Linked DNA regions of Arabidopsis thaliana. The protein of the gene in region 1 interacts with the protein of each later gene in a pairwise test. Each region holds a gene or a part of one and is shown in the gene's direction. Other genes may lie near its edges. The genes, in order: EXO70E2, AT3G01300 and AT1G31870.

Evidence for each region.
Region 2: the proteins of EXO70E2 (region 1) and AT3G01300 interact in a two-hybrid assay, tested with the Arabidopsis thaliana proteins (one large-scale study listed by BioGRID).
Region 3: the proteins of EXO70E2 (region 1) and AT1G31870 interact in a two-hybrid assay, tested with the Arabidopsis thaliana proteins (one large-scale study listed by BioGRID).

The regions. Positions count from the first base shown.
Region 1 is NC_003076.8:24,551,589-24,555,343, forward strand, and holds the start of EXO70E2 (exocyst subunit exo70 family protein E2), read left to right. Parts: upstream 1-2,155; 5' UTR 2,156-3,023; coding exon 3,024-3,755. Other genes in the region: RPA70D (Replication factor-A protein 1-like protein), read right to left, coding at 1-99, 200-427, 533-679, 926-1,053. UniProt on the Arabidopsis thaliana protein: Influences the subcellular localization patterns of other exocyst complex proteins (e.g. SEC5A, SEC15A, SEC15B and EXO84B) leading to their recruitment to exocyst, well-defined large punctate structures throughout the cytosol.
Region 2 is NC_003074.8:91,595-95,349, reverse strand, and holds the start of AT3G01300 (Protein kinase superfamily protein), read left to right. Parts: upstream 1-1,761; 5' UTR 1,762-2,014; coding exon 2,015-2,240; intron 2,241-2,527; coding exon 2,528-2,865; intron 2,866-2,952; coding exon 2,953-3,088; intron 3,089-3,483; coding exon 3,484-3,620; intron 3,621-3,712; coding exon 3,713-3,755. Other genes in the region: AT3G01310 (Phosphoglycerate mutase-like family protein), read left to right, coding at 1-104, 186-243, 329-496, 591-665, 741-1,007. UniProt on the Arabidopsis thaliana protein: Involved in chitin-triggered immune signaling and is required for reactive oxygen species (ROS) production.
Region 3 is NC_003070.9:11,434,979-11,438,733, forward strand, and holds the start of AT1G31870 (pre-mRNA-splicing factor of RES complex protein), read left to right. Parts: upstream 1-1,740; 5' UTR 1,741-1,911; intron 1,912-2,273; exon of another isoform or gene 2,274-2,290; coding exon 2,291-2,486; intron 2,487-2,605; coding exon 2,606-3,518; intron 3,519-3,755. Other genes in the region: AT-IE (histidine biosynthesis bifunctional protein (HISIE)), read right to left, coding at 1-210, 1,400-1,552.

The DNA.
Region 1 (3,755 bases):
GTAACTCGGACTTTGATGGTCCAGTTTCCTTGATATGGATTTAATGACACAAGTGGATGAACCCTTCTAGTCATGGCCATTCTTGCAGCTGGTGCAGCACTGTCAAAATCCAAACGAATTTAAGCAAAACACTAATAAAATAACCATTTGACAGAGACAGTAATGAAACATTGAAGATCAAAAAAGATAATTTGCTTACTTTCCCCTTTGTTCACTCATTATCTGAGAAGCTGATTTGGCTACAAATTCCTGCTTCGGTTTCAATGTGATACCAGTAGAAACAACATCATTCAGAGGACTGACAGGAGAATGCTCTAGTTTCTGCTTCTTGGGCTCACGAGCCTCCTCCTCTCCGCTCTTACTGTCCAAGTTAATCTCAGAATCAAGCACAGAACCAACAGCCTCACATTTAGTCACAAGGAAATATCTGACACAGAGACAATAGAGAAACACACATGTTAGTAACTGTTGATTTCAAGAATCGAACCAGAGTGATTATCCATGTAAAGAAGAAGCAAAAGAGAAGTCTTACTTTGTAGATTTGCTTGAAATGTCGTTAACAGTGAAATCAATGAGACGAATTAGACCCAAGTTCTGGATCTTCCCAGAAATGATTTCAGGTGTGAGTGAAGCAGTAAACATTGCTTTGACTTTCGTCTTTCCGTCATTTGCACTAAATCTGTCAACCAAAATCAAAACAGATCCATCAGAACAAAATCGGTAACTAAAACCCAAAACTAGGCAATATACAAACTATTATCAACAAACCCAGATCTCTTCTATCATAGAGTCATCAAAGTCGTTGCATATCATAATCTAGCTATACAATTGTGATTGAGAGAATATAACACTGACCTAAAGCTGGAACAAGCGAGATTTAAGAAATCAAGTAAAACCCAGATCATGAAAAGCCAAGGAAACTTACGTATAGCGATTGCCGATAGGTTTAAGATCCACAACTTGAACAACGATCTCAGATCGATCGGAAGACGAATCAAAGGATGGGTTTGACAAAACGGTGGAGATGGCATCTGGGGTCACCGAAGTCTGCATCTTTCTCTCTAGATATTGAAAAATGAAACGTTTGGTTTCTCTTTAATCAGAATGGTGAAAACTAAAAGCCGTGAGATAGTGAGAAGAATGAGAGAGAGGTACGAGGGTTTTTGTAAAGGAGAGAGCTTTAAGCGGGAGCTATTAAATTCGATTAATTGTTCCCCCGCCGATTTCAATTTCTATTTTTTTGGCAAAAAACTCTTACCGCTTCTTTTCAGTATCTTTCCATTTTTTTGGCGCATTTTGTTTTGTTTGATAATGGACTTTGTATGCGAAAGAAACTGTGTTACAAAAGCCTTTCACTTCAGGCCCATAGTTTATGGTTTTGTTTTTATGTGTGGGTCTTGAATCCACCGTATCACACGTTATGATTCATAAATATCTAAAATTTATTTCCAACAAATACAATTTTTTTGTTTCTTAAAGAACACATACGATATTATTATTTCAGAAAAAGATTAAATACAAAATCCCCAGGATCAAAATCAAACACCAATTCCAGATTAAACAATATCAACAATCTTTAATGTTTTTGACTTTTTTTTTTCTCTGAATGTTTTTGACAATTGAAAAAAATAATTCTACGCATTGCGTGAGGCAAACATTTAAAATTTTAATTTATATAAAGAGAAAATTTATACTTCTTGACTTGGGAAAAAAAAACTTGCTGAGGTCCTTACTTGATATGAGCTGTCAACTACTAGTGTGAGCCGTACAAATATAATCGGACGGTTCAGATCAATACATTGCGAGCCAGTCAAACTTCAAGTATTGACTAATCAACATCAACGTTTATTACACTAATTTATTATTGTACCCCTTATTTTCCAAAAACATAATACTTTTATCCCTATTGTATCCAATAGCTCTAAAAAAATCCACCATAAAATGTGTTTAATGAAATTCGATTATCTCTGACGACAACATTATCAAAAATCAAGACAAGAGATAGAACATAAAATGTTCAAATTCGTAAAAGTAATTGAAACAAATTAAATTCATTTCGAAGTTTATTAATTACATTTTGACCCCCAAATTTAAGTTAATTAGACTTACCATCCCCATGGTTTTCGTCCCGCCATATGGGGAAGTCAATGGACGAATCAATCTCAATTAGATTCGGGGCGGCCCAAAAATTTATCATTTTCTAAACCTTTCGTAATCTACGAAATTACGGGATCGCCTTCGTTGGAATACTAATTCCATTTTTCAACTTTGTTTTTATAAATACAGTTTACGTGCACCACAACTTTTCTTCTTTCCCTTCTTCTTCCCCAATAATCTCGCTGAAACTCTCTTGCTCTTGCTTCTAAAAATCTGTTCTTTGAGACTTTGATCACACAGTTATCAAAATCATAATCTCTTCTTTCCTGGTTTTTTTTTTTTTCTTCTTCTTCTTCCCGTTTCACGGTACGTTTACTCTGTTCGATCACCGAGTGTATGATAAAATGTTTCTGTGAAATCAAATAACATATCACTTTCTAATAAACATCAAAATTTCTCCTTTTTTACAGAAACAAGAAGTTTTTTTGGGAAAGCCGTTGACTTGACTTTTTCTTTGGGGTGTTGTGTGGGAGCTTATAGTATGGTACCATAAGTGGGAGCTTATAGTTTGGGGTGTTGTGTGGGAGCTTATAGTATGAGGAAAAATGTTAGATTTGAAGAATGCTTCACTGATTTTTTACCATAAGTATGTCAACTGGATTAAGCTTAAGTAGTAATGGTTTTTACTATGTTCATGTGGGGATTTCTCTTCCTCTCTGTTTACTTCATTCCGAGATGACTTGAGATTTTTTCAAAGTATAGTTCTTGGAGTTAAGCTTACCTAGTAATCACTTTATATAACATCCCTTCGTTTACATTTGTGCTTTCACCTGGAAACACTTTAGACTTTTCTCTCTTCTGCCGTGTGTATTTAGTTGTCTAGTCAAATTTAAGTTGAGTTTAGGCTCTAGTCTTTGGTTTTGGTTATGGCAGAGTTTGATTCCAAGGTTCCTGTTTCCGGAATGAACAATCATGTCTTTGAGGCATGTCACCATGTTGTTAAGGCACTGAGGGCATCTGATAACAACCTGGATGCCAATTTGAGAAAGCTCCTAAGTGACCTAGAGATGCATTTGTCAACATTTGGGATTGCTGATACCAAAGTTGAAGATGCAGGATTCTCTGAGATCAAGAAGAGATTCAAAGAAGCTGTGAAGAGAATCCGCAGTTGGGAGACAAACCAGTCGACGATGTTTGAAGCTGGTCTGTCTGAAGCTGATCAGTTCTTTCAAGCCCTGTATGACGTTCAAACAGTTCTTGTGGGTTTCAAAGCTTTGCCCATGAAAACTAACCAGATGGAGAAAGATGTTTACAACCAAGCTACGGTTGCTCTTGACATCGCGATGTTGAGGCTTGAGAAAGAGCTCTGTGATGTTCTGCATCAGCACAAACGGCATGTACAGCCTGATTACTTGGCTGTTAGTTCCCGTAGAAAAGATATTGTGTACGACGAGTCCTTTGTCTCCCTAGATGATGAAGTTATTGTCGAAGCTTCTTCACATGAAGATGATGAACAGATATCGGACTTTTATAATTCTGATTTGGTTGATCCCATCGTACTTCCTCACATCAAAGCTATTGCAAACGCCATGTTTGCTTGCGAGTATGATCAACCATTCTGTGAAGCTTTCATCGGCGTTCAAAGAGAAGCTCTGGAG
Region 2 (3,755 bases), on another chromosome or scaffold:
AGTCAACCGAAGCTATTTATCAATAGCGATGAATTGAGACGACCTGGCACAGGTGATAAAGATGAAGATGATGATAAAGAAACCAAATACCGATTAGATCCAAAGTAATAGTCTTTACTTTCTCTCTCACTCTTATATAGATAGTTATTTCGGCTACTAATTGGTGGTTTTCATTTCGCTTTTAGGTATGCAAATGTGAAGACACCTGAACGTCATGTGAGGACTCGACTTTACTTCACATCTGTAAGTTTCCTCTTTGCTCCATTGCTTGTTTAAGTCTGTCTATGAGTGAAACTATAATGTTTATGCCTGGTATGATTTGGAACAGGAATCGCATATTCATTCGCTCATGAACGTCCTTCGATACTGTAACCTTGATGAATCTCTCCTAGGAGAAGAAAGCCTCATTTGCCAAAACGCCTTAGAACGTCTCTGTAAAACCAAGGAACTCGATTACATGAGTTACATTGTCCTAAGGCTCTTTGAGAACACCGAGGTTTAACATTACATTCCCTTTGACTCTCACACATGCTTCAATATATGTATATGCTCTCTCAGTGTCTGACTCTAGACGTAAAAAACGGATGCAGGTATCACTTGAAGACCCGAAAAGATTCCGCATTGAACTTACATTTAGCCGTGGAGCTGATTTGTCTCCCTTAAGGGTAAGAGCAAAGGATGTCTTTAACTAATTAGAGGAACATATTATAAACTTTTGGTAATATTGAAACATGATGCAGAATAATGACGACGAGGCAGAGACATTGCTAAGGGAACACACACTTCCGATAATGGGACCAGAGAGGCTTCAAGAAGTAGGTTCTTGTTTAAGCTTGGAGACAATGGAGAAAATGGTTCGTCCATTTGCTATGCCGGCGGAAGATTTCCCTCCGGCGTCCACTCCGGTTGGTTTCTCGGGTTACTTCTCAAAAAGTGCTGCGGTGCTGGAGCGACTCGTAAACCTCTTCCACAACTATAAGAACTCTTCTTCTAATGGAAGGAGCTAAGCAGAGACCAATTGTTTTTTCCACTTATATATATTTTGCTCATGCTTTTTTCTATGTGCAGTTTTTAATCATCTTCTTGTTTTTCTACTGATGTTTTAATTTTCTATGTGAAATTGTGAAAGGGACTAGTGCAGTTGGGTTTGAATAAAGATATGATTACATGGAACATAAATGAGTCACCCGTGACGTTGTCTAGTGTTTACAATAGGACTCATCTATTATAACTCAAGAAATGATGATGAGTCTTATTGTAAACACTGTGTTTTCATATCATGCTGTTACGTTAAAGTTGTTGCGGATTTGTTGGAATTTATATATAATCTGCAAAAGAATAGGCTGATGATATCGGATAAACAAATACCGAATCTAAAACAATCTAATAATCGGTGGATTTTTCGTTTTGGGAAAATCTCAAGACATTAAATTGATAATTGAAATACAAATTATTATTATTAGTAAGAATAGTACTAATTGATTGGAAATTGTAATAAACGACTTAATATACAAACTGAAAAATAACAAATGATCATGAAAAACATTTTAAAAAATGACCAAATGAAGGAGATACATAGATAGTTTTATCAAATTTTAAAAAATGTTGGTAATGCAATTAGGGAACATTTGTCCGTGAAGGAATTAATTAGTCTCTGTTTAAAAAACTACGAAAAATGCGTTTTGTAACTGTTGTTGAGAAGAGAAGAGAGAGTTAGCAAACAAACACATATATATTTACATTATTATTGCCCAACAAATCTCTCTCTCTTGCCCGCTTCGTGCCCGTCTCTTCTCTCTTCTTCGTATTCTCTCTCCACAGACATGAATTCCCTTTTTGACTAACCTCCTTTTTCCCCTAATAAGTGAATCTTACTTCTTCTTCTCGCCAAGATCAAATTTCTGGGATTCTTCTTCTTCTCTCTAATTCCCTTGCGTTTGTTTCCTCTGATCAAGTTCCGTCCTTTTTCCTTTTTTTGTTCTTGAGTTCTCGTTTGAGCTGCTTTTTGGGGGAGATGGGTTTCGATTCTGTTAAAGTTATGGAGAATTGGCAATCCAAGACATCTAATGAGAATGAGAAGAAGAAGAAGAAGCGGAGGAGGAAGAAGAACAACAATGTCAGAAACAGTGAACATTATGAAGAAGAAGCAAATGGGTGTTGGGTCAAATTTAGGTATATAGTCTGTTGCGCTTCTTCAACATCAGACGTTGAGACCTCTCTCACTCTCTCTACTAGCACTGGTATGCCTTCTTCTTTTGGCTCTTTTCTTCTCTGCTCTATTTGGTTCTGCAATTTAGTTTCCTGTGCCGTTAGAGTTAATAAAAACCCTTCCTTTGAGATTCAAATCTTCTTCATTTTTGTTTCCATATTTGTCACAAGACGTATCTTTCCATCTAGGGTTCTTATTGAGCAAAACCTTTAATGTCATTGTGGTTGGTTTACCTAACTTTGAGCTACTTCATAGATTATAATGTATATATATTGCAGCAATTGTAGGAACTGACATTTGAATGGTTTTTTATAACAGTGGGAAGTCAGTCCGCAATTGTGCAATCAAATGACCAACCGGTTGGCCCAGTCTCTTCTACTACTACAACTAGCAATGCAGAAAGCTCTTTGTCCACTCCTATCATAAGTGAAGAACTTAACATCTATTCTCACCTTAAGAAGTTTTCTTTCATTGATCTCAAGTTGGCTACTAGAAATTTCAGACCTGAAAGCCTTCTCGGAGAAGGTGGCTTTGGTTGTGTCTTCAAAGGCTGGGTCGAGGAGAACGGAACTGCTCCTGTTAAGCCTGGCACTGGCCTTACTGTTGCCGTCAAAACCTTAAATCCTGATGGCCTTCAGGGTCATAAAGAGTGGCTTGTAAGATCCTTCCTTCCTTCTCTTTTCTTCTATATATATATATCCTTTTCCACTGTTAAACACACAACTAAAGGTTCCTGTTTGCAGGCTGAGATTAATTATCTTGGTAATCTTCTCCATCCCAATCTTGTTAAACTGGTGGGTTATTGTATCGAAGATGATCAAAGGCTGCTTGTATATGAGTTTATGCCTCGAGGAAGTTTGGAGAATCACCTTTTCAGAAGTAAGTAAAACAACTACAACCTTCATATTCTAATTACACTGTAGAGTTATTTTCTTTCCTTTTCTTTGTTTTCGATTTGGGTAACAAGTGTCTACAATTTAGAGATGTGTCTACTCCATATTGTTAAAGTGATTAGAATCTATACAGCTAAAATTGGAACCTTTCTGCTCTATATGGTAAAGTTGGTACCTTTTAGTGCTGTCTTAGATGGTTTATATTGCTTGACTGTATTGACCCACGAAGCAATAAGTAAATCCCTCGCATTCATTGTTTCAAGATTTTTCGGCGTAAAAAATGTGTTTAAAAAGACACAGTGCTTTTGTATGATTTATCTTCTCAGTTATCATTGATGCAAATCTTTTTATTTGTGAATTAACTTGTGCTTCGTGTTGAAGGGTCCTTGCCTCTTCCATGGTCAATTCGGATGAAGATTGCATTAGGTGCTGCAAAGGGTCTCAGTTTCCTTCACGAAGAAGCTTTAAAGCCGGTCATTTATCGAGATTTCAAAACCTCAAATATTTTACTGGATGGGGTATGTTTTCCTCTTCTTTATATCAAGGGATCAACATCTTATATACACGTCTGTTTCTTTGCTTCTAAAGTCTTACCATGTCCCAATTTCAGGAGTACAATGCTAAATTATCAGATTTTGGGCTTGCCAAAGATG
Region 3 (3,755 bases), on another chromosome or scaffold:
ATTGATGAAGTTATTGGATGTCTCTCCCTTAGTCCATAAGGTAGATCTTGATCGACTAAAGAATGTAGCTTTCCGAGAACTGATGGTTGTGGAGAGGGCCTCCCTATTAACAAAGCCTTGCATCAATACTGCTCCCGTATCAACGTTTTGTGCTATTGCCACAGCTAATCCTTTGTCATCCCATTTAATGCGGTCCAACAAGTTATCTACCTAACACAAGAAAACAACAGAAACCATGATTAGCTACCAGGGAACACAACAGCCGCATATACATTGCTTATTGAGACAGTAATAAAAGGCACAATGGCAACACTACCAACACAGAAAAAAACATTGTCATTTCAATCAAACAAGCCCCTCTCTAATAGTATAAACAGTAAATGCATTATCGGACTAGATATTAAAGCCAAAAGAGAAATGTCTCAATGAAGATTATTCAGGTTGTGGAGGACAGATGTAGCCCATGCCATCACAGATTCAGATGACCAAGCAAACGATGTACACCTTTAGAGAAAACTCCAGACCAAAAGATGGAAACCATCAAAAAGCCTTTCCTTCTCTCTTTTTTCTTTACCAGAGATGTAACAGTTCAAACTCATTTGTCAAAGAGTAGGAACCTGACCATCTCTGGCCAAATCTCAATTGTACATGACGTAACTAAAATAGATTAACAAATGACACATCTTACATGAACCTCCTTTTCTCTAAATTAAAACATAAGTTACTTCGGAAGGCATCACAGTAATTCAGTGATGAATTAATCCAACTCTGAGAGCGCAAGACAATACATATTTCCTTGAAAAGATATCAACTGTGATGAACAAATGGAGCCAAGTCATCACGTAACAAAGATGACCAAGCAAACGATGAGCACCTTGAAAGAGACATCCAAACCTAAAGATGGAAACCATCAAAAAGCCTTTCCTTCTCTCTCTTTTCTATACCAGAGATGTAACAGTCCAAACCCACATGTCAAAGGGTAGGAACCTGACCATCTCTGGCAAAAATCCAAACTTTACATATACAATTTACTCCAGACAATGTTCATAGAACTAAATTACTTTTGGCATAACAATATACTTAAATGCTTTAATAAAATGTGATGAACAGATGTAGCTCAGGCATCACCAAATGCAGATGACCAAGCAAACGATGAGCATCTTAAAAAAGAAATCCAAACTCTAAAAATGAAGCTCAGGTTAAAAAGCTTTTCCTTCTCTCTTTTTTCTCTACCCGACATGTAACAGTAATTACTCATATGTCAAAGAGTAAGCACCTGACAATGTCTGGTTCAATATTCAATCTAAATTCTAATCGTTCTTAGATAACAATTAAACTTAACACGATTCCATTGCAGAACATTCTATCTATAAGTTAAGATTACACAGAAGATGTTTACCTTAGCTTGAAGAGCAATGTTCTTATTATCATTGCACGCGAATACGACATTGGATCTGCTTCTCAGCTTAGTATCTCTAAAGGAATAAGGTTTGGGGATGAAGCAGCTACTTCTCGCTAAAGACTGAGCTAATGCATTGTACGATACCGCCATTTTAACGCTACGAGAAACGAAAAGTGGCGGCGGATTGAAAAAAAAAAGCAACGGAAGAGATTAACCCTAATTGTTCTGAAGTCAATGTGATAGTGAAGGGCTTTTTAAAGACCGACTCAGCAATGTGTGCAAATACTAAAATGCCCCTATTTATGTCTTAATATTAGGAATTACAAAAGCAATCCCTATTAATTGCTTGAAATTTCAAATTCCGCCATAACTTAAGTTTTTCTCTATTCTTCGTCTCCAGGAGATCCAAAAACCCTAGAAGAGCTAGCTCTCCGAGTTATCATTTTCAACTATTCGCGTTGGGTTACTGATATTTTCCCGGTCATCTCCGGCGTTAATTTTCCGATCAGGTTAGTAATTTTACGATTCTATGAATGTATGCTTGTCTTCGTTTAGCTTTCTAGTTTTCTGGAATCGCTTTTGAGTAGATGCAAATTTGTGGATTTGATGACGATATAAGACTAAGCATTCTTTTGTTATTCTCGATTCAGTCTCATTTTCGTAGGGCTTGATTGATGCTAATTTGAGTTTAGCAACTAATTGTTGATTCCAGATTTGGTTTTGAAAGCTATATCTATAATTCGGTCTCTTAAGATGATGAACGGTGGCATTGCCATTAATTCCTGCTTGAACCTCTGGTTCCTGAATTGAATATATCTTCGTCTAGATGTTATGTTTGACTGAATTTTTCAAGTTTATCATTGGTATTTAGGCTCCAAATTCTCAAAGATGGCAGGAAACCAATCTTTAAAAGATTACTTGAAGAAGTATGAAAGTAGTGATGTTGTAGAGAAGAAGAAGAAGAAGAAGAAGCAGAAGAAGCCATCTAAACCTGAACCAAGAGGTGTTTTAGTTGTCGACGAAGATCCAGTTTGGCAAAAGCAGGTTGATCCTGAAGAGGACGAAAACGAAGATGATTCAGCAGGTAAATTGCTTGACTGTTTCTTGTTTCTTGGACTTGTGCATCTGTAATGCTTTCACTTCCCTGATCTAATAACAGTTCACATTTACATATTGTGTTCTCTTTTCATTTGTTTCGTATAGAGGAAACACCTCTGGTTGATGAAGACATTGAAGTTAAGCGAATGAGGAGGTTGGAGGAAATTAAGGCAAGGCGTGCTCATAATGCCATTGCTGAGGATGGAAGTGGGTGGGTAACGTTACCTCTAAACCGTGAAGACACACAATCTAATATTTCTCCTCCACGTAGACAAAGGACTCGTAATGACTCGCCCTCTCCTGAGCCTGGGCCTAGACGGTCGGTTGCGGATAGAGTTGATACAGATATGTCACCACCACGACGGAGAAAACGTCACAATTCGCCTTCACCTGAACCTAACAGAAAACATACCAAGCCTGTTAGTTTGGATTCAGATATGTCACCACCTCGCAAAAGAAAAGCCAGGAATGATTCGCCTTCACCAGAACCTGAAGCTAAATATCTGAGTGAAGATCTATCTCCTCCTCGTAGGAGACATGTTCATTCTCCATCGCGTGAATCTAGCAGAAAGCGTTCAGATTCTGTTGAGTTGGACGATGATTTATCTCCGCCTCGCAGGAAAAGAGATTTACATGGTTCACCTGTCTCAGATGTAAAAAAGAAGAGCAATGATCTATCTCCTCCACGGAGAAGAAGATATCATTCTCCATCACCTGAACCAGCTAGAAGGTCTTCAAAATCTTTTGGCTCGAATGCTGATTTATCTCCACCCGGCCGGAATATAAATATGAAGGATTCTCAAGACTCAGATCTTTCGCCTCAAAGAAAAGCCGCAGATTTGCGACGTTCTTCTGAAAATGTGTCCAGGAGTTCCAATTTTGATAGCTCTCCCCCAAGGAGACCACGCAGAGATTCATCACCTCCTCAAATAAGCAAGGAGCAACGAAAGACCGGATTGATTAGTGGCAAAGACATTGGAAGTGAATATCGAAAGAAAAAGGAGGATGAAAAATTGAGGTAATTATCAGAAAGTAGACTAAGCTTTTTAGAATCTGTTACTGCATTTTAGTTATAGGCATCAGGTTTGTTTCAGTTTCAGTAGTATTGGGCCAAGAGTAGTTTCCTATTTCCTTGAAGTTTCATGTTGCCTACTTCCTAAGTTTCTAAGATTTTGTCTTCTGTGTCTTTAAATAGGGAATTCATAAAGAGACCAGTCTTCAGTAACGATGATTTGAGATTCGCGATTGCATGTTT